Ovis aries: one gene and its partners. The protein of the gene in region 1 purifies or fractionates together with the protein of each later gene. This does not show direct contact. Links are inferred from orthologs where the notes say so. Each region holds a gene or a part of one and is shown in the gene's direction. Other genes may lie near its edges. The genes, in order: DVL2, DACT1, PELI2, VANGL1, CSNK1D, NEDD4L and VANGL2.

What was found.
Region 2: the proteins of DVL2 (region 1) and DACT1 purify together in Homo sapiens (affinity purification with western blotting; 3 studies listed by BioGRID and IntAct, with this or other methods). This does not show direct contact. The link is inferred for Ovis aries from reciprocal best matches to the Homo sapiens genes DVL2 and DACT1.
Region 3: the proteins of DVL2 (region 1) and PELI2 purify together in Homo sapiens (affinity purification with western blotting; 3 studies listed by BioGRID, with this or other methods). This does not show direct contact. The link is inferred for Ovis aries from reciprocal best matches to the Homo sapiens genes DVL2 and PELI2.
Region 4: the proteins of DVL2 (region 1) and VANGL1 purify together in Homo sapiens (affinity purification with mass spectrometry; 4 studies listed by BioGRID and IntAct, with this or other methods). This does not show direct contact. The link is inferred for Ovis aries from reciprocal best matches to the Homo sapiens genes DVL2 and VANGL1.
Region 5: the proteins of DVL2 (region 1) and CSNK1D purify together in Homo sapiens (affinity purification with mass spectrometry; 3 studies listed by BioGRID and IntAct, with this or other methods). This does not show direct contact. The link is inferred for Ovis aries from reciprocal best matches to the Homo sapiens genes DVL2 and CSNK1D.
Region 6: the proteins of DVL2 (region 1) and NEDD4L purify together in Homo sapiens (affinity purification with mass spectrometry; 4 studies listed by BioGRID and IntAct, with this or other methods). This does not show direct contact. The link is inferred for Ovis aries from reciprocal best matches to the Homo sapiens genes DVL2 and NEDD4L.
Region 7: the proteins of DVL2 (region 1) and VANGL2 purify together in Homo sapiens (affinity purification with mass spectrometry; 4 studies listed by BioGRID and IntAct, with this or other methods). This does not show direct contact. The link is inferred for Ovis aries from reciprocal best matches to the Homo sapiens genes DVL2 and VANGL2.

What each region holds. Positions count from the first base shown.
Region 1 is NC_056064.1:26,830,177-26,832,865, reverse strand, and holds the end of DVL2 (segment polarity protein dishevelled homolog DVL-2), read left to right. Parts: coding exon 1-86; intron 87-202; coding exon 203-382; intron 383-805; coding exon 806-1,024; intron 1,025-1,166; coding exon 1,167-1,615; 3' UTR 1,616-2,189; downstream 2,190-2,689. Other genes in the region: ACADVL (very long-chain specific acyl-CoA dehydrogenase, mitochondrial), read right to left, coding at 2,430-2,570, 2,655-2,689.
Region 2 is NC_056060.1:68,967,577-68,971,076, forward strand, and holds part of DACT1 (dapper homolog 1), read left to right. Parts: intron 1-1,487; coding exon 1,488-3,268; 3' UTR 3,269-3,500.
Region 3 is NC_056060.1:66,604,630-66,608,711, forward strand, and holds the start of PELI2 (E3 ubiquitin-protein ligase pellino homolog 2), read left to right. Parts: upstream 1-1,282; 5' UTR 1,283-1,521; coding exon 1,522-1,598; intron 1,599-4,082. UniProt on the Homo sapiens protein: E3 ubiquitin ligase catalyzing the covalent attachment of ubiquitin moieties onto substrate proteins. Involved in the TLR and IL-1 signaling pathways via interaction with the complex containing IRAK kinases and TRAF6.
Region 4 is NC_056054.1:93,017,166-93,020,665, forward strand, and holds part of VANGL1 (vang-like protein 1), read left to right. Parts: intron 1-60; coding exon 61-193; intron 194-1,541; coding exon 1,542-1,776; intron 1,777-3,500.
Region 5 is NC_056064.1:50,122,909-50,126,408, forward strand, and holds part of CSNK1D (casein kinase I), read left to right. Parts: intron 1-1,676; coding exon 1,677-1,825; intron 1,826-2,095; coding exon 2,096-2,324; intron 2,325-2,654; coding exon 2,655-2,825; intron 2,826-3,288; coding exon 3,289-3,437; intron 3,438-3,500. UniProt on the Homo sapiens protein: Essential serine/threonine-protein kinase that regulates diverse cellular growth and survival processes including Wnt signaling, DNA repair and circadian rhythms. It can phosphorylate a large number of proteins.
Region 6 is NC_056076.1:57,840,640-57,844,139, forward strand, and holds part of NEDD4L (E3 ubiquitin-protein ligase NEDD4-like), read left to right. Parts: intron 1-558; coding exon 559-624; intron 625-2,454; coding exon 2,455-2,684; intron 2,685-3,500. UniProt on the Homo sapiens protein: E3 ubiquitin-protein ligase that mediates the polyubiquitination of lysine and cysteine residues on target proteins and is thereby implicated in the regulation of various signaling pathways including autophagy, innate immunity or DNA repair.
Region 7 is NC_056054.1:111,416,964-111,420,942, forward strand, and holds the start of VANGL2 (vang-like protein 2), read left to right. Parts: upstream 1-1,179; 5' UTR 1,180-1,458; intron 1,459-1,744; exon of another isoform or gene 1,745-2,093; intron 2,094-3,979. UniProt on the Homo sapiens protein: Involved in the control of early morphogenesis and patterning of both axial midline structures and the development of neural plate. Plays a role in the regulation of planar cell polarity, particularly in the orientation of stereociliary bundles in the cochlea.

The sequences.
Region 1 (2,689 bases):
GACCAAGGCCATGGCCGCTCCAGAATCGGGACTGGAAGTTCGGGACCGCATGTGGCTCAAGATCACCATCCCTAACGCCTTCCTGGGTGTGGCTGGGCTCTGGGCAAGTGGTGGGGGAGGAAGAGGAGGGGGCCAAAACTGGGAAAGGGGGTGAAAGCTAGAGAGAAGAACTTGAGGCCTTTCTCTGTCTTCCGCAATCCAGGCTCGGATGTGGTGGACTGGCTGTACCATCACGTGGAGGGCTTTCCTGAGCGGCGTGAGGCCCGGAAGTACGCCAGTGGGCTCCTCAAGGCGGGCCTCATCCGGCACACTGTGAACAAGATCACCTTCTCTGAGCAGTGCTATTACGTGTTTGGAGACCTCAGTGGTGGCTGTGAGAGCTGTGAGTGCCCCTGTCCTGGCCCAGCTAGAGTGGCCCTGGTGGCCTTGTCCTGCGTCTCCAGCTCGAGGCCTAGCCCAGAAACCCAACCGGGGCTGCTGTGCACGCTGAGCAGCAAGCGTCCTTCACTGGCCCCTGAACTGGCTGATGATGGGCGTGGGGTTGACATACACCTCTGTTGTGCTGGATGAGCTGTGCGCAGGTTCAGGGTTGTGTCTGCTGGGGAGGGGAGACGTGGGACTAAGGGTGGCTCTGGCCACGTTCCTGCCCTGACGGCTGTGGCGGGTGGGACATTCCTTATCAGAGGCCCTCCCATTAACCCCTGCCACAGATGGTTGTGGGGAAGCCGTTCCCGGTTCCTCATTCGATGTCTTGGCATCCTGGCTTCTCAGCGCAATGATCCTTGATCTCTTCTCTGCCTTCCAGACCTAGTCAACCTGTCTCTTAATGACAACGATGGCTCCAGTGGCGCTTCAGACCAGGATACTTTGGCTCCTCTGCCTGGAGCCACCCCCTGGCCCCTACTGCCCACTTTCTCATACCAGTACCCAGCCCCACACCCATACAGTCCTCAGCCCCCACCCTACCATGAGCTCTCGTCCTACACCTACGGTGGAGGCAGTGCCAGCAGCCAGCACAGTGAGGGTAAGTTGCCGACAAATCCCCACATAGCTGGGTCTGGATGTGGGGGCCAAGGCAAAGCCAAGGAGCAGAGGCTGGAGCAGGGACTGGGGAGGCCGAAGAACCTGGTCTGTGGCTCAGTTGCTCCTATCCCCTTTCCCCACAGGGAGCCGGAGCAGTGGGTCGACACGAAGTGATGGGGGGGCGGGGCGCACGGGGAGGCCTGAGGATCGGGCCCCTGAGTCCAAGTCCGGCAGTGGCAGTGAGTCTGAGCCTTCCAGCCGGGGTGGCAGCCTTCGGCGGGGTGGGGAAGCTGGTGGGACTGGTGACGGGGGCCCTCCCCCATCCAGGGGCTCATCAGGGGGTGCTCCTAATCTCCGAGCCCACCCAGGGCTGCATCCCTATGGCCCACCTCCTGGTATGGCCCTCCCTTATAACCCCATGATGGTGGTCATGATGCCGCCACCCCCACCCCCTGTCCCTCCAGCAGTGCAGCCTCCAGGGGCCCCTCCAGTCCGAGACCTGGGCTCTGTGCCCCCAGAGTTGACCGCCAGCCGCCAAAGCTTCCACATGGCCATGGGCAATCCCAGTGAGTTCTTTGTGGATGTCATGTAGAGCCCATGGTGGGGCCACGTTGGATCGGCTGTCAGTGTTTGGTGCTCCTGTCCTGTGATTGGATGTCTTGTCAATCATGTGCTCATCACTCCTCTGGTGCTTGGACTCAGCCTGTCATGTGGGCTGCTGTCTGCTGTGAGGTTGTTGCCACTGTGACTTTCCAGCAGTGCCTGGTTCCTCCCCTTTTCTTTGGGGTTCAACAAGGGACCTTGGTTATTTTTAGCTTTATTGTTTTTTATAAGCCTTTTGGGGGGTTAAAATAGATTTTCTTACATTTTGGGGACTATTTTTTTAGTAGATAATTTTTCTTTTATATGAAGAATCCTTGTCTCCTGGGCCCCCTCCTTCTAACCCCTAAATGTGACCTCCTTATCCATTCGCCCAGTCAGCTCTGTCCTGAGCAGGGTGGGAGGGTAGTCATTGGTACCCTGGGACGTGGAAGGGGGTTGGTTCCCCTAGACAGCCGTCAAAGGAAGCTGGGGTAGTTGGTATTGGGGGCCGTGTAGCTGCTTTTGTTACTCTATTTATTTTAGTCACCTGTATAAACACTAAATAAAGCAATAGGGGCAAACTCCCTGCGCCTCTGGCTCCTTTCTTTGGGAGGGAGGCAGGCAGCAAGGGAAAGGACAGAGATACAGTTGCAGAGTGTGACTTGTTGGAAACTTTATTCGTGAGGCAGTAAGTGCTCCCTCTGAGAGCAGGCACAGTCATGGGCTGGGGCCCCGTTCAAGGTAGAACCAGGATGGGCAGGAAAGGGGTCTGGGCTTTGGCTTGAGAAAAGGCACATTTTGGGCCAGGCTGTAATTGAGAGTACTCAGAAACCAAGGGGATTGCTGGTGACCACGCCGCCCCGCTCCACCAGGGCCTTGGAGATGCTTTTGAAGTTACGGAAGAGCTCCTGCTGCTGGGGGTCAGACTGCAGAGCAGCCATGTTCTCTCGGATCCGGGCCGCAGCCTGGGGAGGGAGGGGGAAGGAGGGGGTTCAGACCTGTCCCTTGATCCCCTCCAGCCCCCTGTACTTAGTAACTCTGGATCTCACCTCGATACACCAGCTGTCACAGAGCATTTTCTCAT
Region 2 (3,500 bases), on another chromosome or scaffold:
GGCCTTGGGGTAGTGAGGAAGAATGAGCACAGATATTAGCTAGAGAGATTTCCCCTTCTTACAACAAACTGTTTATTGGGAGTGGAAGTGGAATTGGGGACATGACACATTTATTTTATAATAAAATTTTGTTTACAAATTGAGTATCATTTCTGGGTCTAGACTGACCTGCCACCGAGACTGCTAATAATCATTGAAATTCACAGGGCTTTCCTTTAAACAATTAACATAGAATTTAGCACATAGTAGGTTTTCAGTATATGAGTGAATAAAGATAATTATAATGGAAAGCAAATTAAATAGGGACAAAAACTTTGATCTTCTGTAACTAAAATTCACTCAGAGGATTTGATATTTATAATATATACCAGGATAAGAGATCAGAATAATCTAATTAAGCAAGGAAGCTTGATTTCATTGTATTTTGGCATCTATGTTTTTGAGATGTGGAAATTTTATTCATTAGTACTACTCCTCAATCTTAAAGCCTCATCAAAAATTCCTTTATAAAATATTGTGCTTTATTTTTTAGTATCACTATTAAAAACATAAGGTGATTATTATTTAAATTTAATCTTGATTGAAATTAGTTTCCCTGACCTTTTAATTGACAGTTATATTCAAACACATGTCATTAAGAATTAGGTCTAAAAAAATATTCAAAATGAGGAGAAAGCCCATGAAAGTATAGTTTATCTCAAGTACTTAAAGGGAAACCAGGAACAGAACACAGAAGGGAAAGTGGCCCAGAGAAAGAATGGCTCAAAAAACGTTTATTTTTCCAGTTATAAAGGCAGTACATATTTGAAAGTGAAGTTGCTCAGTCATGTCTGACTCCTTGTGACCCCATGGACTGTAGCCTACCAGGCTCCTCAGACCATGGAATTTTCCAGGCAAGAGTACTGGAGTGGGTTGCCATTTCCTTCTCCAGCATACTTTTATTGAAAAGTTAGAAAATAGAAAAAGAAGAAAGTACCATTACTTTTCCTACCACTTTGAGATGCTACTATTAGCATCTTTGCATGCTTCATTTCAGACTTTTTTCTTTGACTATATCCAGTCTTAGTAAAATTATAAAATTATGATTTTCACTCCACTTTAAAGTGTTTCCCATATATTATTCAATAGTTTGAAAGCATTTTTAATGCCTGAATATTTTTCATTCAGTTATATCTTGTTAAAAAGTCCTTTGTTGATTTTTTTTTCCTCGTCTAGTAGTATGAACTGTATGTGAAATAGTAGAGTAGCTTGTCTTGTATTTGTTGATTCTTTGTTATTCTCTCACTACCCCTGAATTTGTCTTCATAGAAACTGGCCTGATCAAGCTGGTGCTGACCAGTTCATTTCTTCAGAGTGTACCTTTAAATGTTTTTCAGATCTCATAGGATAGCTAGAATATAAAGAAGGCCATTGTGAAGACCAGGCCTCAAGGTCAGTTGACTGTTCCCTCTCCACACCACAATCTAATTTCCTTGCTGTCATTGCAGATGTGAATCCCAAGTACCAGTGCGATCTGGTGTCTAAAAATGGGAATGATGTGTATCGCTACCCGAGTCCACTTCATGCCGTGGCTGTGCAGAGCCCAATGTTCCTCCTTTGCCTGACTGGCAACCCCCTGAGGGAAGAGGAGCGGCTTGGTAACCATGCCAGCGACGTTTGTGCGGGATCTGAGCTGGACACCGTCAAGACAGACACTAACTTACCATCTCCAAGCAGTTTGTGGTCTGCTCCCCATCCTTCATCCAGCAAGAAGATGGATGGTTACATTCTGAGCCTAGTCCAGAAAAAAACCCACCCAGTAAGGACCAACAAACCGAGGACCAGTGTGAACGCTGACCCCACGAAGGGGCTTCTGAGGAATGGGAGTGTTTGTGTCAGAGTGACTGGGGGTGTCTCACAGGGCAACAGTGGGAACCTTAAGAATTCGAAACAGGTGCCTTTGCCCTCCGGAGGCATCCCTTCTTTGGACAATGGGGCCTTCTCCCCACCAAAACAGTGGTCAAAAGAATCAAAGCCAGAACCTCTGGAAAGCAAGAGGTTGCCCGCGCCTGAAGGCTGTTCTCCAGGCACTGCTACCGAACTTCAAGGTAAGCATCTGCCCAAAACCGCCAAGCCTGTCTCCCAGGAACATGCGAGGTGTCCCCCCGCTGGGACAGGGGAGTCCTCTAAGGAGAGCGGGCAGATCCCAGCTGCCTCTCCGAAAGAGAGCCCTGGGAGGGTCCTCGCACCGCTGCAAGAGAACAAAGTGGTCCAGCCACTGAAAAAGGTGCCACAGAAACACAGCCCGCAGGCAGGCACTCTGGCGCCCCCTCCCGCCGCCTCAGCCCTGCTGCCCCCAACTTTCCCGGCGGAAGAGCGGCCGGCCCTGGATTTCAGAAGCGAGGGCTCCTCTTCTCAGAGCCTGGAGGAAGGGCCCCTGGGGAAGGCGCCGGCCGTCCTGGCGCCGCCTCCGGGGGTCAGGCCGCCCCGGGGTGCGCGCCCCGCAGCCGCCCCGAGGGGCTCCGCTGTGAAGCACCGGGCGCCGGCTGTCCACGGGCCGGAAAGTGCTCTGCCCGCCGTGAGGGAGAAGGCCCGGGCGGCCAGCAAGAAGTGTCGGTTCCCCGACGACACGGATACAAATAAGAAACTGCGGCGAGCCCCGGCCAAGGCGCGGCGGGGCGGGGGCGGCCAGCCGGACGCGGGGCTCCCCAGCCGGCCGCTGGGGGCGGGCCACCGCGCAGGGAGCCGGGCGCACGGCCACGGCCACGGCCGGGAGGCGGTGGTGGCCAAGCCCAAGCACAAGCGCACCGACCCGCGGCGGTGGAGGTCGGCCGCCGAGGTGTCGTACGAGGAGGCGCTGCGGCGCGCGCGGCGGGGCCGGCGGGAGCCCGCGGGGCTGTTCGCGGCCGGGCCTTACGCCAGCCCCTACGCGTACGCGGCCAGCGACTCCGAGTACTCGGCCGAGTGCGAGTCCCTGTTCCACTCCACCGTGCTGGACACCAGCGAGGACGAGCGCAGCAACTACACCACCAACTGCTTCGGCGACAGCGAGTCCAGCGTGAGCGAGGGCGACTTCGTGGGCGACAGCACGAGCACCAGCGACTCGGAGGAGAGCGGGGGCTTGATTTGGTCCCAGTTCGTGCAGACGCTCCCCCTGCAGCCGGTCCCGGCCCCCGACCTTCGCCACAACCCCACCAAAACCTTCGTCAAGATTAAGGCCTCACACAACCTCAAGAAGAAGATCCTCCGCTTTCGGTCTGGCTCTTTGAAACTGATGACGACCGTCTGAGGCACATCCTCCGTGTAGAGTGGGGCTTTCTAGCTCCCCACCAGTCGGTGGTGTCTTCCTTTTTCGTGTGTAATAATTTCCCGGAGTGCTTTCCTTTGGTTAAGAGAAAACCGAGGTGAATTTTTGTCTCATCTTCGTCATGTATGGACACTAGTGCCTTTAATGGAAGGTAAAGAATGTTCTTTTTGCTGGTTAGAAGTGAATATTGCGTTTCTAATGGTGGTGACAGTGA
Region 3 (4,082 bases), on another chromosome or scaffold:
CCTGCAGATCATGTCACTGTAGCAATAACCTATCAGAGAATGTTAGACAAAGGCTACTGAACAGCACAATGAAAGGTTATCGCAATTGTGATGAAATTTTTTTTCCCTAGTCCTTTACTTAGGGTGATAGCCAACCAGCCAGTGTTTATACATAGGGTTTGCAATATGTATTTAAATATTTAACAATCTTGAGAGGCAGTGACTGACAATAACATGCAGTGCCCAGTATGAGTGCTTAATAAGTGGTAAAACAAAATACTGCATGATGAGAAACAGCAGTCAGTAAATCTATTATACTCTAAAATATTTCAAAGCCTAGTAACTATTTAGAAACGCATAAAAAAGCAAACATAATGTGTTGGCTAAATTAGGATAATAAAGGAAACTTTATATTCACTAAAAAGTTTACTCAGATAATTTTCTTTTAAATTGCTTAGGGGATTGAGAGAAGGTATGGGAAAGGGGAGAGCGTATGGATTAAAATCACACACACAACTTTTTTTTGAACCACGTGGAAGTCTGCTGACGACAGACCGGGATGTTACATCCTGCACAATGGAGGGGTGCTCCAAGCGCCTTCAAAACTCCCTCTAATTCAGTGCCAACTGGCAAAGCCCTCCAAATTTCTAGACTTCTTCAAGCTTTAAAGGACTGGGTTTCGGAAGAGGAGGCTCCTGGTGCGCGTGTGGAACACCTCCGAAAGTGTGCCGCGACACGGTGACACCGGGAAAGCTAATGCTCCCATATCCGGAGAGCAGGTTCTTTATTTACAGCTAGTTAACCCGAGGAAACTAAGTTAGGCTTGGGAACCTAAACCGCCGTGCTTCCGGGGACCCTGCGCAGCCTTCCGCCGCTGGAGAACTCGGCGACCAGGGCTGAGGTGCCCGCGCCGTTAAGTTTGGGGAAGGAAGCGAGAGAGGAAAAAAAAATAGAGCTGCTCCTTTAAGAACTTCCTTTCCCTTTTACTCTATGTTTACATAACACGGGGGCGAGCCGCCGCTGGGCCCGAGGGGGGCGGGGAGTGGACCCGGGCCGCCCCACGCGCCGGGGGAGGGGGCGCCGGGTGGGCGGAGGGCTGCGGGCGTCTCGCGGAGGGCGGGGCGGCTCCCACCTGCCCGCGCGCGGGCGGGGCGCCTCTGCGGCCGGCCCCCGCCCCTCCCCCGCCCGCTGCCCCCGCCCCTCCCGGGCTCGCTCGCTCCCTCCTTTCCTCCCTCCCGCGGGGCTTCGGCGGCGGCGGCGGCTGCGGCGCTTCGCGCGGTGGGTCTCCCTGCTGCCCAGTCCCATTTGTTGCCGAGTCCAGCTCGGGGCAGCCGCGGCGCGCGGAGCTCTTAGAGAGCCCGGCAGGGCAGCCACGCAGCCACGACGGAGCAGCCGCGGGACTGGCCGCCCCGCGCCCCCTTCGCCGCCGTGCCCTTCCCCGGCGCACTCACTCCCTTCTCGGGATGGGATTGTAGCGGCGGCGCGGACTCGGCGGGGATCGCGGCGGAGGCGGCGGCGGCGGCGGCGGCCGAGCAGGGCTCCATGTTTTCCCCCAGCCAGGAGGAGCACTGCGCCCCCAATAAGGAGCCCGTGAAATACGGGGAGCTGGTGGTACTGGGGTGAGTCCGGGGATCCCCGACCAGGGGAGCTTGGGGGCGGGCAGCAAGCGCTCCGGGTTGGGTGGCCGCCGCGCACCCACATCCCGGAGCAGGGCCATCGGGGTGGTTTGGGGGTTCTCTGGCCATCGGTAGGGCGCTTGGGCCGGTAGAGCGTCTCGGAGGGCTGGGACCGCGGGAGTGGGGGTGGGATGCCCCGATCCGCGCGCGCGGGTCGCTGCGGGCACAGGGATGCGCTATCCGCGCCGAGGACGGTGGCGAGGGAAGTGGCGGAGCGCGGTCAGCCCGGGGCGAAGGCAGCGGCGGGGACTGGGGCGACCTCGGAGCCCCGCGGGGCGTAGCGTTCGGGGGCTAAGTCCTTGGCATTACCGCGGGGGCAGAGGCTCGACTTCCCCGCGTGCCCCTGGCCGGGTGTCGGGGATAGGGACCAGGGTTGAAGCACAGCCGTCGTGGGCACCTCGCGGTGTCCGAGGACTACCCCTCCACCTTGGCGAAACTGAGAGGCCCCCAGGGTCCCTCTGCTCCCTCTTATTGTGAGCCCCGGGCCCGGAACTCCAGGCGCGGCACCGGCGGCTCTGCGCTGCGGGCAGTGGGATCCGAGCGAGGGGCGTCCGCGGGCAGCGCCTTGCATATTGTTATGGTGACCGCCGCAGCAGCCGCAGCCCCAGGGCAGTGAACTGTCTGCGACCCGGGCGGCCGGGCCGGCCCTCGGCTCTCTCCGCCGGGAGTGTCGTGGAGCCGGCAGGAAAGCCGCTGCACCCGCCCGGGCTCCGGGGCGCGCGGGGCTGCATCCTCTCTGTCCCTCGGTCCTGGGATTTGGCCTCGCAGATGTCCTCCCAGCGGCGGGGAGCTCGCCATCCTCGCTTGCCTCTGCTCCCTCTCGGCTTGTGAAAACCACATTCTGAAGATAGTAATTATCTACAATCTTTAAACGGCAGCAATTAGAGACTTCATCTACTTCCTGAGTTTCCTTGTGACATTTCTATTGTTTACCCTTAATAAGCCTGGAGAGAGGCTTCGCTGGGATTAAAGCAGGATAAAGTGGGCAGTGAAAGGGGAGCGGAATGGGGTGGGGAAGTGCGGTAAATTCGGGAAAAGGAGCAACTTGGGTTTAGCCTTGAAGGAGAAAAGAGAAAGGATTATTTTTCCCTTTGGATCTGTCACTCTCGGAAACCCGCGCTTTTGTCCTCCTCTCTTGAAAGACTTGTGTTCTGAACATTAGGGGTGCTGAAAGGTAGGCTTAGTACACGTGTGAAGAGTCATGGGTATGGAAGAACTCAGGGCACTCTGAAAAATGTGTTTTGATAACTGAATACCTTGAAGTAAGTGCCGGCTTAAAGATAATTTTAAAGCGAGGAATTTTTAAGAGAAGCTTCCAGACACAGCCCAGCTCAAAGTTGTCCAGTTTGGCGTACTTTGTAGCTACAGTGTTAGGTGGAGTATCATTGGAAAGCTCATTTACCTATTTGGAAGCTGTTTCAGATAAGCATTTTTCTCACCTGCATCTAATTGAACGTAAAAGACAAACATCAAGATTCAGTGGAAGGAGAGAGGACTGGCAGGCAAAAAGCTAGAGTTTAGCTTGTATTATGTAACCTCAGCCCAGCCTAATTTTGTGCAGTTTGGTTTTGTTTGTGTGGCTGGCTTCAAAGTATGTTTAACATTGTGAACCTGACACGAAAGATTAACTTAGGCCAGGACTTTATTTCATTATTTCCTTTTGAGGAAATAGTCGTTGAGATGTTTCATGAAAGCAGGGTGTGAGTGGGTCTGGAGAGGGTTTGTGTTCATAGCTGGAAGTGCAGGACATTCCAAAGCCCCGAAAAGGATTTTTACCCTGAATTGTCCTCCAATCAGGCTTATACTAAAGCAGGCTATGTAAATACTTTGCCAGTTGCATGTGCTCTGTTATTTACAGATGTTTTCCCAGGAGACACTTAGTATGATGGAATTAAGTGTTAGTTGCTCAGTCGTGCCGGACTCTTTGCAACCCCATGGACTGCAGCCCACCAGGCTCCTGTGTCCATGAGATTTTCCAGGCAAGGATACTGGAGTGGGTTGCCATTTCCTTCTCCAGGCGATCTTCCCAACCTAGGGATCAAACCTGGGTCTCCTGCACTGCAGGCAGATTCTTTAGAAACTGAGCTATAAGGGAAGTCCATGATGGAATTAGCACTTATATTAATATTTTAGGCCACTCAGCAGTTTGTGGGCACCTACTATGTGCCAGCACTGTTTAGGCATGGAAGATCCAGAAGTGCACAGGGAGCTATTTCATTGTAGTGTGGAGTGGCAGATATAAACAGAAGGAAACATGTAAACAAGTGAATAATAAATGGCAGTTTTGGGCACTGCCAAATTTTCAACAGAAATGGGTTAGCTTAGGAGACGTTTGCAATAGGCAGGTCTTGCCTTCTGTAGCTGGGAAGGCAGGGAAGGTTTCTCTGAGGAGGTGAAAGGTGAGTTGAGACCAGGCTCTGAGAAGAT
Region 4 (3,500 bases), on another chromosome or scaffold:
TGCTGTTTCTCACCCCAAGGCATTAAAACCGTCCTTCCTCCACTGTCCTTTCCCCCAAAGGCCCCAGTAACAACGCCACTGGTCAGTCCCGGGCCATGATCGCCGCAGCTGCTCGGCGCAGGGACTCAAGTCACAACGAGTTGTATTATGAGGAGGCAGAACACGAGCGGCGGGTGAAGAAGCGGAGAGCAAGGTACGCTGCCCAGCCCCCACACCAACACCCCGACCAGGCTTTCTTTTTGAATGTACACCGACTCTTTTTTTAAAATTTATTTTACTGAAATGTAGTTGATTTGCAATGTCATGTTAATTTCTACTGTATAGCAAAGTGATTGTTATACATACATATACATTCTTTTTCGTGTTTTTCCTGTTATGGTTTATCACGAGATTTTGAATATAGCTTCCTGTGCCAGTCAATGGGACCTTGTTGTTTATACATCCTACATATAATGTGCATGCGTGTTAAGACGCTCCAGTCGTGTCTGACTCTGCGACCCTATGGACTTTTGCCCGCCAGGCTCCTCTGTCCATGGGATTCTCCAGGCCAGAATACTGGAGCGGGCTGCCATCCCCTCTTCCAGGGCATCTTCCCAAACCAAGGGATCAAACTGGGTCTCCTGCCTTGAGGCGGATTCTTTATCTTCTGAACCAACAGGGAAGTCCTCCTATATAATAGTTTGCATCTAATCTCAAACTCCCCATCTGTCCCTCATCTACCTCCCTCCTTCCCTCCCTTTTCGCAATCAAAAGTCTGTTCTCTTAAGACATTTTTTTTTTTAACCAGAATGAAATTTCAGTTTATAAACACAACCCCCTAGCATGCAAAAGCATCACCAGGAGGACTTGTTAAAACACAGGTCTCAGGTTCCGGCCCCACCCGCAAAGGTTACTTACTTTCCAGTAGGTCTAGAGTGGGGCCCACCCAAGAATTTACGTTTCTTAAAAATTCCCAACTGATGATGAAGCTGCTGGCCTTCAGCCCACACTTTGACTGGCCCGCCCTCTATCCCCAGGCCCTTGCTGGTTTTCCAGAGCTGATCACTTTAGCTGAAGTGGACAAAGATGGTTTTCATCATACATGCTGCCTTCCTTCTTTGTTCCCTGGGGCTGCTGGTGTGGGCGGCCGGATGGAGAGGATGCAGCTCTGGTTCTCCATAAAGCTGCCTCTGTACCATGAGCCACCCCTCAGTGCATGCAGAGTCTTTTGTAGCCACAGTTTGAAGAGCCTTAAAACTCTTTGCATGTCACCCTTCGTTGTAGTGAGTCTCCCAAGCAAATAAGTGGCAGAATTGAGATTAGGAGTCATCTCCGCAGTCCCATCCTTCTTCCTCCTCACCCGGGAGCCCCCATTCCGTGTATTACTTTTGCCTTTGTCTTCCTTTGCCCTTCCCTCACCTCCCTATTGTCTGGGGTGACACCTGAGGATGGGAGCCTTGGGCCAGCTGGCGGCCAACTAGGAGTCCTCCTCCCACGTCCTGTGTGACTCTGTTCTCAAGCCCTGCACTGCTGTCCTGAGTACCATGTTTCATCACCCCCAGGCTGGTGGTCGCAGTGGAGGAGGCCTTCATCCACATCCAGCGTCTCCAGGCTGAGGAGCAGCAGAAAGCCCCCGGGGAGGTGATGGACCCCAGGGAGGCTGCCCAAGCCATCTTCCCGTCCATGGCCCGGGCTCTGCAGAAGTACCTGCGCACCACTCGGCAGCAGAACTACCACAGCATGGAGAGCATTCTGCAGCACCTGGCCTTCTGCATCACCCACAGCATGACCCCGAAGGTGCGTCTTGGCGCCGAGCTTGCAAGTCCCATTTTAGGGTGTTGTCAGGAACGATAAAGGTTTCTCTAAAGCTCCCACTGATAAGGATTAATGTTTCTTGCTTATTTTATGTTATTTTGGTGCAGTTGTTTTTTTTTTCCCCCTTTTAAAAAAATTTATTAATTTTTTAGTTGAAGGATAATTGCTTTACAGAATTGTGTTGGTTTCTGCCAAACATCAGCATGAATCAGTCGTAGGTATACATATGTCCCCTCCCTATTAAACCTCCCTCCCCATCCCACCCCTCTAGGTAGTTACAGAGTCCCTGTTTGAGTTCCCTGAGTCATAGAGCAAATTCCCATTGGCTGTCTATTTTACATCTGGTAATGTATGTTTTCATGTCTCCATACATCCCACCCTCCTTCCCGGGTACAGTTGTTTTTTTAATGTGCCTTTGAATTAAAGGCTTCAGGATTCAAGCAGAGGAAAGACTTTCACTTAAAGACAGCCCAGGTAGTAATTCAGGGTACTCTGTATATCCTGGGCCTGAGCTGATTTGTTCTAACCTGGCACCTCCATCAACTAGTGGGGAACCTTGGGCCAAGAGCTTAATGGCTCTGTGCCTCAGTTTCCTAGTCTGTAAGTTGGAGATAATACTAATGTCTACCTCATGGGGTTGTTGTGAGAACTAAAAGAGTTCATTCCTGTGTAGTGCTTAAAACAGCATCTGTCATAATATAAGGACCAAATAAATAGCCATTATCATCAGGGGTGGAAACCATGCTCTGACTTGTTTGGCGTTTTGGCTGTTGGGAGGTTAGTTTTACTAAGTGATCTTCTGGGCCATTATGACATGAGCACGCTTTAGGGGATGATGCAAAAACAGCCTCGTGTCTAATAGACGGCTGTGGCCAAGGAGGCAGAATAAAGTGTTCAGCCAGTGACCTCTTCAGACGGAAGTGGATTCAGATCCTGACTCCACCACCTAATCGGTTTGTGACTTTGCCTAAGTTACTCTACACTTGTTCCCTCTTTTATAAAATGGAGATAATAATAGTATCTACCTGATCGGATCATTGCATGAGAATCATATTAAATATGGCAACACGACATGTGAGTTGTGGTAGAGAGTAAATGAGCTTGGCATATGGTTTGCATGTAACACTGGTAGTGATATTATTGGTATAAAGGCCTGTATTCATACGTTGCCCTGTACGTATAAACTGCTGGCTGCACTGTCACCCTTATCAAACCCTAGGAAACCAATATGGAGATATTCAGTAAGACGCCATAACATTTTCCATATTCTTTGGTTCACTAATCCCCCTCCTAGAAAAAGGACTTAGCACAGTCAGCGATACACACTAATGTATATGTGGATTATTTTGCAAGATAATCTTTATTAGCTCCAAACTGGAAATAACTTAACAACAGAACAGTGGCTTACACGTTATGGTATATCTTAAAATGTGGAAGAATCTGTTAGAATATTAAGTTACAAAAAGCAGACTGCAAAAATGTGTGAACACGGTGGTTGCAAGTGAATACAGCATGTCTGCCTATGCAGAGGGATGGCTCATACCACGTGGAATGGAAGTGGTTATTTCCCTTTTCCCCCAAGCTTTTTAAGTTTACTGGCTGCTTTCTTTCTCACTTAAAAAAAAAGTATATATACTTTTCCAAATTAAAACTAATAATCTTTATATAAAAATCCAAACGTTAAAGAGAAGTATAATGTACGAAGT
Region 5 (3,500 bases), about 23 Mb from region 1:
GCGCGTGGGATTAGTTGCTGCTTGGCAGGTGGAACCTTCCTGGAGCAGGGATAGAACCTGTGTCCCCTGCATCGGCAGGCAGGTTCTTAACCACTGTGCCACCAAGGAAGTCCCATAAACAGTCATACTTTTTAAATTTAAAAAATTTTTAAGGTACTTCTGTTGTTAGTTCCAGTGCTCTTCATTCCTTCTGTAGCCCCACACTTCCATGTGGCATCGTTTGCCTCCTGCCTGAAGGACATCCTGTTAACATGTCACAGTGCTGGTGATTGATTCATCACCCTTTGTATATCTGAAAATATCTTCCTTTTGTCTCTGCTGAGGTTTTTTTCGGCAGATTGTCAGTTCTTTTCTCAGTTCTTGGAAGATGTTCCTCCACTCTGCTTTTTTCTCTGGCTGCCTTCAAGGTGTTCTGTTTGTCACTAGTGAGCAGTTTGTCACGTATGTCAGTGTTGTGCTCTTTATGGTTCTTGTGCTCGGGGCCTGTTGGGCTTCTGTGTTCATGATAGGCCACAAGCTTTTGTCACATTATGCCTTATAACCTATGGACTTTGTTAAGTTTGTTCTCATGTCATGTGTAAAATGTATTTTTAAAATATTTATTTGTAAAAGAGAAAAGTTGCCCTGTTGATATCAAAATCAAAAGTATTTAGCATCTTACAGTGCCAGAAAAGAATGCAGTGCTCAAAACAGCCTGCAGTGGTGGGGTATTAAAGGGCCCCAGGAGCTGCTCGCTGAGAAGCAGGCAAGGCTGGGATGCTTGGAGCAACAGAGTAAGTGATCCAGTGTTGGAGTACAGACCAGAATGTAACACAGACACTCGTGGGCTCATACTGATGGGAAAAAATAGCAAGTAAGTAGATGAGAAGAGACACATCTGTGTGGAAGCATTCCAAGTCGTACATATAAATGCTCTGCCCTCTGGGAAGGGAGCCCAAAAGCCCTCATAAGTGAGGGCCACGTGTGATGACATCTCCGCAGGGAGGATGGCATGGGCAGGGGAGGAAAGAGGAACTCCCCAGTGGAGACATATGACAGACGCACCTCAGCCAGGTGACCAGGGGTACAGCCATGGTGAGGAGTCATGTCGACAGCACAGCCCTGGCGGGACGTGATGAGAAGGGCACTTCCCCTCTGTGGTCTTCCTCCCCAAACCCACAAGCCCAGACTAACAACGAGAAAAACAGGCAGGCCAGCAGAGGGACAGCCCGTGCATCACTGCCCAGCCCTCCTCCAAACCATTGGGGTCGTTCAGACCAGGAAAGTCTGAGAGACCCTCCTGGCCAAGAGCAGCTGAAGGAGACATGACGACTACTCGTCATGTGAGGTTGGGACAGGTCCTAGAGCGGCCGGAGGGCATGAGGTTAAACCTGAGGAAGCCTGAGTAGTATACACTTCAGTTAATGACAGTGTATCGGCATTGGGTCATTAGCTGTGACAGCTTTACCATACTGGTGCAGGATGTCAGTCGTAGGGAGACTGGGACCCGGTTGTGGGAGCCAGTGAGGCTCTTCCTCCTGAGCCCCTCACTCCACCCCCACTGTGAAATTGGCCTTCCAGCCTCTCCCCACGTCACTGCTCACTGCTCCTGCCCAGCCGCCCCCCATCAGCATCACAGGCACGGGCATCCTCAGTGCAGATGCACGGGAGGCGGACTGACGCAGACTTTCTTGCAGTGGGCATCCCCACCATCCGGTGGTGCGGGGCTGAGGGGGACTACAACGTCATGGTGATGGAACTGTTGGGACCCAGCCTGGAAGACCTCTTCAACTTTTGCTCTAGGAAGTTCAGTCTCAAAACCGTCCTACTCCTTGCTGACCAAATGGTAAGACTTCATTTTTCTCCACTGAAGGGCAGCCCACGTGCTCAGCACAGGGCTGGATTGATTGATCAGTCTGATGAGGCCTTCAGGGTTGTTTGCTTCCTTTTTGTGCCATGCGTGCATACGGAGAAAACAGAAGCTTGTTAACTGTGCAAGAGATAGTGACCCATGGAGGCCAGGGCATGTTTGCAAGTGGGCCAGGGTTCCCCTTGGTTCCTTCTGCCAGGCTGCAGCCTGGGGTTCAACCTGTCACCCCTGCTTCTCCACCTGCAGATTAGTCGTATTGAATACATACACTCGAAGAACTTCATTCACCGAGATGTGAAGCCGGACAACTTCCTCATGGGGCTGGGTAAGAAGGGCAACCTGGTCTATATCATTGACTTCGGGCTGGCTAAGAAGTACCGGGACGCCCGCACCCACCAGCACATCCCCTACCGTGAGAACAAGAACCTCACTGGGACGGCGCGGTACGCCTCCATCAACACACACCTTGGCATCGGTGAGCCCTCCCGCCCTGGCTGTCCTGCAGCCTCTTGGGGCCCCTGAGGGTTGGTTGTGGCACATTGGGTATGGAGGCTGGCACCAAACCTTCGTAGCAAAGGCTGGCATCTGGGCCTGCAGACCTTGTGAGGCGTGAGGGACAGCATGTGCTGGGGCTTCCTAATGGGTGGCAGTGCATCTCCTAACGGCACAGCAGGGTTGCTTCTGCAGAAGCAAAGACTCCACGTGTCCTTCTCTGAGGCTCTGAGTTTATCCCCAGGCAGCATCTGTGGGGTGTTGCTGTGCATGCTCAGGCACACCACCCTGACCTGCTCTCCTCTCTATCCAGAACAATCTCGAAGGGATGACCTGGAGTCTCTGGGCTACGTGCTCATGTACTTCAACCTGGGCTCACTGCCCTGGCAGGGCCTGAAGGCTGCTACCAAGAGGCAGAAGTATGAGAGGATCAGTGAAAAGAAGATGTCCACTCCCATCGAGGTGTTGTGCAAAGGCTACCCTTGTGAGTGTCTGGTGGACAGTCAGCCAGTTGTAGTTCTGTGGGAGGGCAGGGGCCTGTGAGGTCTGGAAGAAGGACTAGGGAAGCCCCCCAGAGGCTGGCTGTCCAAAGCCCCCTCAGCGCCCTGCATAGTTAGGGAGCTGAAGACTGGGCAGGTGGCCTCCCCTCCGAGTGGCCACAGCCTCTGTCCCTGGTGCTCCTCTGCCTTCCTGAGCCATAACTCAGGGAGTTTTCCTTTTGTTTTTGTGAGACTTCTCCTGGGATAAGTGTCTCCGATGAAGCTGTTATGCTCTGTGGTGCTCAGTTTTCTCATCCTCTTTCCCCAAAGCATGCCTGATGTTTCAGGCTCCAGCATTCGCAGCCTCTCTCTGTGGCCGTGAGTGGTCAGAGGTTCTGTGGACAGACACCATTCTGGCTCTCAGGCAGGAATACTGCTGGTTACCTCTGAATCTTCTGGTGTTTACAGCTGAATTCGCCACGTACCTAAATTTCTGCCGTTCCTTGCGTTTTGACGATAAGCCTGACTACTCATACCTGAGACAGCTCTTCAGGAACTTGTTCCATCGCCAGGGTTTCTCCTATGACTACGTGTTCGACTGGAACATGCTCAAATTTGTAAGTGTGCCCCCAGCTCACTGACCACTCAGCATGGAAGGGGCTTGCCTGTCAGCAAAAGGC
Region 6 (3,500 bases), on another chromosome or scaffold:
AACCAGTCCATCCTAAAGGAAATCAGTCCTGGGTTTTCTTTGGAAGGAATGATACTAAAGCTGAAACTCCAGTACTTTGGCCACCTCATGCAAAGAGTTGACTCATTGGAAAAGACCCTGATGCTTGGAGGGATTTGGGGCAGGAGGAGAAGGGGACGACAGAGGATGAGATGGCTGGATGACATCACCGACTCGATGGACATGAGTTTGAGTGAACTCTGGGAGTTGATGATGGACAGGGAGGCCTGGCGTGCTGTGATTCATGGGGTCGCAAAGAGTCAGACATGACTGAGTGAACTGAACTGATAATATCTCTAAGTGATTTCTTGAACATCCGTATTGTTTTCAGGGATGAAAGCCTCATTCAGTACTGAATAATCTTAATCATTTCTAGAACTTCCCATATGGTGTGTAGACATTATGTAAATTTCAATGATTATATGAAGAGTGACAATTTTAAGGTTCATGATTCATGAAATTTTCTGAATGTTGGCTTCATGTACATAAAATTTCAACTGTATTGTTCATATTGTCTATATTTATACATTTATCTTCCAGGCTGTTCCTTACTCCAGAGAATTTAAGCAGAAATATGACTACTTTAGAAAGAAATTAAAGAAACCTGTGAGTACATGTCTTCCAAAAATGTTGCCTTAGTCATTTGTAAGTTACCAAAATTACTTCAGTGAGAACTTGTTTCTTACTTTTATATCTGTACCAAAAATGCTACTTTCCTTTTTTCACTGCACTTTAATCCACCTGGATCTCTGATGTGAATTTTCTTTTTAACAGAAATGGTAAGTGAATATTAACTTAGTATTATTGGGTTGGCCAAAAAGTTCCTTTGGGTGTTTCTGTATCATCTTTCAGAAAAATATTTTGGCCAACTCAAAACATATTAAGTCACCTGAAGGTAATTTCTTATGTAATACATAAAAAGATAGAAATGATTTTATGAGATATATAATAATTCAGGACCAAGTGAAAAAATTTGGAGAAGCCTGTGCAGTTGCTTACGGTTACCCTAATTAATAAAACCTTGGTCCTAATTATAAAAACGTTCAAGTCTGTCCCTTTAAATTCCAATATGTACAACATAAATATAATTTATAATATTCTGGCATATTAAGACCAAATGTCATTTTCAGAGTAAAAATTCTCACTGGGAAACCCATTAAGATTCTGGCAAAACCAAGATATCTTGTAAGGCTTTTTGCAGGCAGTGTTTTAAATTACAGTATTATATTTTCTACCGACACATCTGCCCAGATCCTTTAACGCTGCGTCTTCTGTCTCACTTTGGTCTCGCCTGTCTGGTGAGGGTTTTCCCAGTCTTCTCCTCAGTTTGTGCCTTCACCCTTTCTGGGGTGTTTTCGCACAGGTCACTGTTGACTGGCTTCCGCTCACTGGGAAAAGGCGTGTGTCTCCCACAGCTCAGATCTCCCCGTCTGCCTGTGCTTCCTGCCCGCCTCCCCCAGCCCACTCCACTCTCTCAGTTATGCCTTCTCCCCACCTCTGTTGTGGGTGAGACACTGGGGATGCAGAGATGCCTGGAAGCCAGCCTCCGCCTCGGGGAGCTCCCACTAAGGGTTTTGTTCTCTTGTCCATCACCCCGAATCAAGGAGCTCCTGGGTAACTCCATTTCAGGATGACTGAGATTTGAACCTGTGAACTCCCGTGTTTCTTTGTGAGTCGCCTGCGTTTCTTCTGAGTATAAGTGATGACTCTGAGGGTCCCACCCGTCTCACTCTGTAGCACTTATACTCTACGGTGCCTTCTGCCTGGAAACTGACTCTGCAAATCCATCGTCATAACAGAGCCGACCCTGGGCCTGTTTCGCCAGGAAGCAGTTATTCACAACTTCAGTCAAGTGCCTTTTAATTTTCACATTTATCGTTAAACAGCTGTGGCCTTTGGCCTGATCATCAGAGTCTGCCCACCCCCGCCCTGGCAATAGGATTAGCTTCTGAGTGTCATGGACCCACGCCTGCAGCCGGAGCCCCGCCAGGGCTCAGAGGTGTCCCAGCCTGGCTGGGTGGGGACTGTCTATGGGGTTAATCGTCTGGACTGAAGTCCCTTTCTTTGACTGAAACAATATAGAGAGCTGACCGTGTTTCACTTGTCAGCGGGTGGATAAGGGCCCCTCGGTTGCTCATAAAAGCAGGCCAGGATGATTTGTCTCTACTCAGCGTAGTTTCTTCCGCAGCACGTGTTGCTGACTCAGTGGATGACAGCTGCTCGTGGGTGCTGTGTGTCTCCTCCTGACGTAGCAAGGCTTTCTGTCTGTGAAGAAAAATCTAGAAAGGGCAGAGCCCCAGCTGGAGCCATTCCACACTGATTGTTTATTCGAAGGCTGCCATCATTCTGCTCTTTGTTGTTTTCTGTTAGGAAGTCAGGTGTATATTTACTCTCTGACCGTGTGTCGTTTTTTTTTGTTTTTTGTTTTTTCTTTAGGCGGATATTCCAAATAGGTTTGAAATGAAACTTCACAGAAATAACATATTTGAAGAATCCTATAGGAGAATCATGTCTGTGAAAAGACCAGATGTCCTGAAAGCTAGGCTGTGGATTGAGTTTGAATCAGAGAAAGGTCTGGACTACGGGGGCGTGGCCAGAGAGTGGTTCTTCCTACTGTCCAAGGAGATGTTCAACCCTTACTACGGCCTCTTCGAGTACTCGGCGACGTAAGTATCTGGAGTGCATTCAGAATGTGTCCCCCACTGAGACAGGTTTATTCCTCATGAGCAAATGAGAGAGGTGAGATGATGAGAGAGTGGGCTTCCCTGGTAGCTCAGCTGGTAAAGGATCCGCCTGCAGTGCAGGAGAACCTGGTTTGATTCCTGGGTCAGGAAAATCCCCTGGAGATGGAATAGGCTACCCACTCCAGTATTTTGGGGTTTCCCTGGTGGCTCAGACAGTAAAGAATCTGCCTGCAATGCGGGAGACCTGGGTTCAGTCCCTGGGTTGGGAAGATCCCTTGCAGGAGGGCATGGCAACCCACTCCAGTATTCTTGCCTGGAGAATCCTCATGAACAGAGGAGCGTGGTGGGCTACCGTTCATGGGGTTGTGAAGAGTCAGATATAACTGAGCAACAAAGCACAATGAGAGTAAGCCGCTCGCTCGTTTGAGGTGAATTAACACTGCTGACCTCAGCCCCTCCCATCCTCCTCCCTGGACATCTAGAACAGAATCTGACTCCACACGGTGAAATAAAGTACACTGTGAACACCTAAAAATAATTCTTCCCTTGTCTGTTGGGTTCATGTAACTGAAATTGAAAATGTGTTGGGTACTTATCGTTAAGGAAAAGCACTTTGCATTTGTTATGTTAATTCAGGGGAATTTGTCACTGTCAGAATTCAGAAGGTCATTGTCTCATGAACAGGAATAGTTTCTGACATTATACTACTTAAAGGGAAATTGAGGCTCCGTCCTTTAGGATCCAGAGGACTGTCCTGAGCCTGAGCGGCGAGGCCCTGCCTTCCCCTTGCATTAGGTT
Region 7 (3,979 bases), on another chromosome or scaffold:
CCCTGCTGGAGGAGAAGTGTGCAAAGGTGCTTTTGAAGTATTACTATTCTAAGTAAGTGGAGAATTGCACACAATACTAATGATATTGTAATAATATTTTTGCTTTCACTCACTCCAAGGGCTACATAGACTTCTCACAAACCCAGACTTTCATAATGGGGGTCAATCTCTTTGGGTTCAAAGCTTTTATGACCCAACTTCATGAACCTAACTGGTTTCTTGGTGTACGCTAAGGCAGGAATGCCTGATTATGTCGGATACTGGTGATACCCTACAAGCCTTGTGTAGTGCTATGAATTCCAGAATATGTGAAACCCCTGGGGACGAGAGCCTTGCCTGTTTGGGGTTAGGGACCCGACAGGCCAACGCATTTTTACACTTGGAGGTTTCCTGGGAGAGGGGCCTCTCTCCCCCGCCATCCAAACTCCCGGGCGCCCTCGTCGTCCCCCCCTCCCCCACTCCCCCAGGGCAGGGTTCCCTTTGTAATTAATCCCAACGCTCAAACCAGAGGGGAGGAAAAAAGTGTTAATGAGAGAGCATCCCAGACTGACTGGGCGGTCGCCGCTCGCAGCTAGAACACCAAGTAATTAAATTATTTTGGGAAGCGGGGGGGATATGGTGGTGACTGTCAGAAAAACTCCCGTATGAATGGCAAGAAGGGAGCGTTTCTCGCCAGTAATTAAAATCAAGGATGACTTTCTCTTCTCGCAGCCCTCGGGGGGTAAAACTCAATCTTTCCACGTCCCAGATTCCACTGGATTTCGTGTAGCCGGGTCTGTGGCCCTAAGAATTGAACATCGCCATCCCCGAGGGTCTGGGGGCTCGGTCTCCCGCAGGCGGGTAGAGGGAAACAGCCCCAGGAGGGGCTGCGGGCTGGGCCCAGCCCAGGAATCGAGGCATCTCCCAGACCACCGTCCCGGGCCGGGGTCACAGCCCCGCTGCCGATTCCCAGGATCCTGGGGGGCCGCCGGGCATCTGGATGCGAAGGGCTGGGGGGGAGGCGGCGACTCGGGGAAGAGCGGGGCCGCAGACAATGGACGCGGCGGCGGGCGGGCCGGCGGCTGCGGGAACAGCCGGGAGGCGGCACCCGGGAGCGCGCGCTCCCCCGCCCCCTGCACCCCCTCGGCTCCCGTCCCCTCCCCCTCGGCCCCCTCCCCCTCCTCCGCGGGCTCCCGATCTGATTCCTGATCCCTGATTCCTTGATCCTTGGTCCCGCCATGGGAGCTTGAGCGCCCCCACTCCCCTCTGGCCCCCTGCCCCCGGGGCCCTGAGGGGGAAGAGACAGCGGTCTGGGACGGAAAGGGGGCGACCGGACTCAGGAGCCCCCCTCTACACCCCCCAGCGTCCGCGCTGCCCATCTACGAGCGCGGAGTTCGGAGCGACCCGAACGCTGCGGATACAAAGGCGCCGGGCCGAGCCGGGCGCCGGCCGAGCCCACCCGGCAGTTCGCAGCGGCGGGTGAGTGCCGGGCCGCGGGGGCGCGAGCAAAGTTTGAAAAAAAAAAAAAAAAAAGAAACAGAAAGAGGGACAATCATGCAAGGGGCCAGGGGTGCCCAGCCCCGGAGCGAGCGGGGTGGCTTATGGGGAAAGGGGGCGTGGGGTAGCCCCCTTCCGGTCCATCCCCCCACTGCACAGCGGAGTGCCCCCCAACTTTGGGGAGAGGAAGGGGCGCTTGGGGAGGGGGCGGAGCCCGGGCCTGGAGAGCCGGGGACTTTCCTGGGCCCGGGGCCGGGGCGGGGGCCTCAGCGTTCCCAGGGGAGCCGGTTGGAGCTGGAGACTCGGGAGTGTGTGTGTTGGAGGTGGAGGCAGAGGCAGTGAAAGGATCGCAGTCTGGAGGTACTGGAAGGCGAGGATGTTTAGGGGTGCATACACACCTCAGGAGTGTGGGGAGGACCCCGGGCAGGTATGCGTTCAGGGCGTGAGGTGGAGTCCCGGCAGCCGCCCGAGGGGAGTGGAGGAGGCGTGTGTGCGGCTGGAGGATGGGACTGGAGGCTGGAGACCCCGGCACTGTATCCAGGGGCCCAGAGGACAGGCGCCGGCATCCTTCTCTCCACTTGTCTCTACTCGTCTAAGGGGCTGTGGGCTCTGCATTGGTGAGTTTTAGAGGCTTGGTGAAGCATCAGTGTGCGTGATTCTTTTGTTTTTGTGTATGTGTGCGCCTTGACATGCTGCGTGTCCCTGCAGGTGGGCCCCTAGATTTGGAGATGAAGGTGTTTTTCTGTGCCCGAGTGTGTGTGCACGCAAGGAGCAGCTGATCATCCATGTGTGGTGTGTTTGGATATGTATTTATGGGTATATTCTGGGGAAGGGGTGTGTGTCTCTGTGTGTGAACTGGGGAGGGGTTTATGGGAAAGGTTCTGAGGAAAGTGGGTGTGTAAGAGCAGAATAGGGTGTACCTGGGTAGGTGTGTGTACACCTGTGTACTAGAAAGAGATGTGAGTGAATCTGTGTTCTCTTGTGTACAACCTGTGTTGATAGATAAGTGCCACCGTGTGCCTGCCTTAGGCGGTGTGTGTATTTCTGAGTGTGTGTTGGGGGTACTGCCACTTGCCTCTGCAGGCGGATTTTCTTGGCAGGGAGCCCAAAGGGAGGGCTGTACCTGCCAAGAGGGGTTCTGAGGCTTCTTGGATGCCCTGCCCCGGTTTTGAGGGTAGTGCCTTAAGTATTTGAGACCCCTGAGGTACCTGTTTTGGGAAATGGGCTTTTCTAGATAAAGGTTGTGTGCGTGGTGGGGAATATGGAATAAGGATTTGGGTTGTAGTCCAAGGGGAGTCTGGGGGATTGGAGAAGTCAGGGAAAAGAATCAGAGGGATATCCTCTTATTCCACCTTATAGATTGGGTTCTTGTACTTGGAGAGGCCACATTCTTGGCTTCTCAGCCTATGTTCAGCCCCCTCAGGCCCCACTTGTCTTGTAAAGCCGCCTTGGAGTTTGCTGCTTCAGAGCCCACTCACTGCCCTGCCTCTGGGATCCTACAGTTCCTGAGGAGTCTGGGGATTCTGGTATGGGATAGAGGCGGGGGAAGAAGCATGTCCGGAGGGATGAGACCTGGTCCGGACATCTTTGGTTCTCTGTTGCACGGGGTTCAGAAGGTGGCATGGGAGCTCTGGGGAGAGCAGAGGGGGATGTTTTCTCAGGAGTTTGTACAGATTTATCTCACAGTTTCCCCCTTTTTCCTGGTGAGAAGCATGATTGGGGTGGAGATGCGATCTGGGGCCAGGTCTGAGGGTGATGGATAGGGGGCTCAACTTGGCAGGAGGGTGGCTGTCCCTATGTCGAGGCAAGCGCCCATTGAGGGCTGTTTTCTCTCTGTTATTATTTCTCTTTTGGGATGAAGGGGAAGGGCGGGCATGCATCTTGTTTGCACATCTCACTCTCAGTCATTTTCCTCTTGCTGCCAGAGGAACTGGTCGAGGCATCCAGCTTTAGAAGCTGCGACTGTGAAGGCACAGGCCTGTCAGGGTCTCTGGGTAATTCCCTAATGGGAGTCCTTGAGGGCCATGTGCAATTGGAATGCTTGCATTTTAGCCCCCAGGGCTCCCCACCTTTCTTAAGTGGTAAGAGCAGTAAGAGTTGGAAAATGTTGGGACTAGAAGTGGGGCAGAGAAGGAAAAGACTGGATTAAAAAAATGCGTGGTTGCCCCAAACCTGACACCTATCCGTTGGGTAAGGTTCCCAGGGGTGAGTGAGGCACTTGAATCTAGGATGGTGTGCTCTGGGGTACCTTGTTTGTGTCTGTCCTCTGACTGAATGCATGATATATTATACTGGTGTGTTTGGGGGGTGAGGAGCTCTTCCAAGGAGGAGGACTTGTGGTCAGACCTTAGGAAAGGCCGCCTTTGAAAGTACTTCAGATTGGAACTAGTGGTCAAGTTGGCCCCTTCGCCCCCACTGTCTTGCTCCTTCCTCTCTCCCTCTAATTCTTTTGGGGGCTGACCTCTCTGGTATGCCCCCTTGGCTCCTTCTGCTTCTTCAAGAC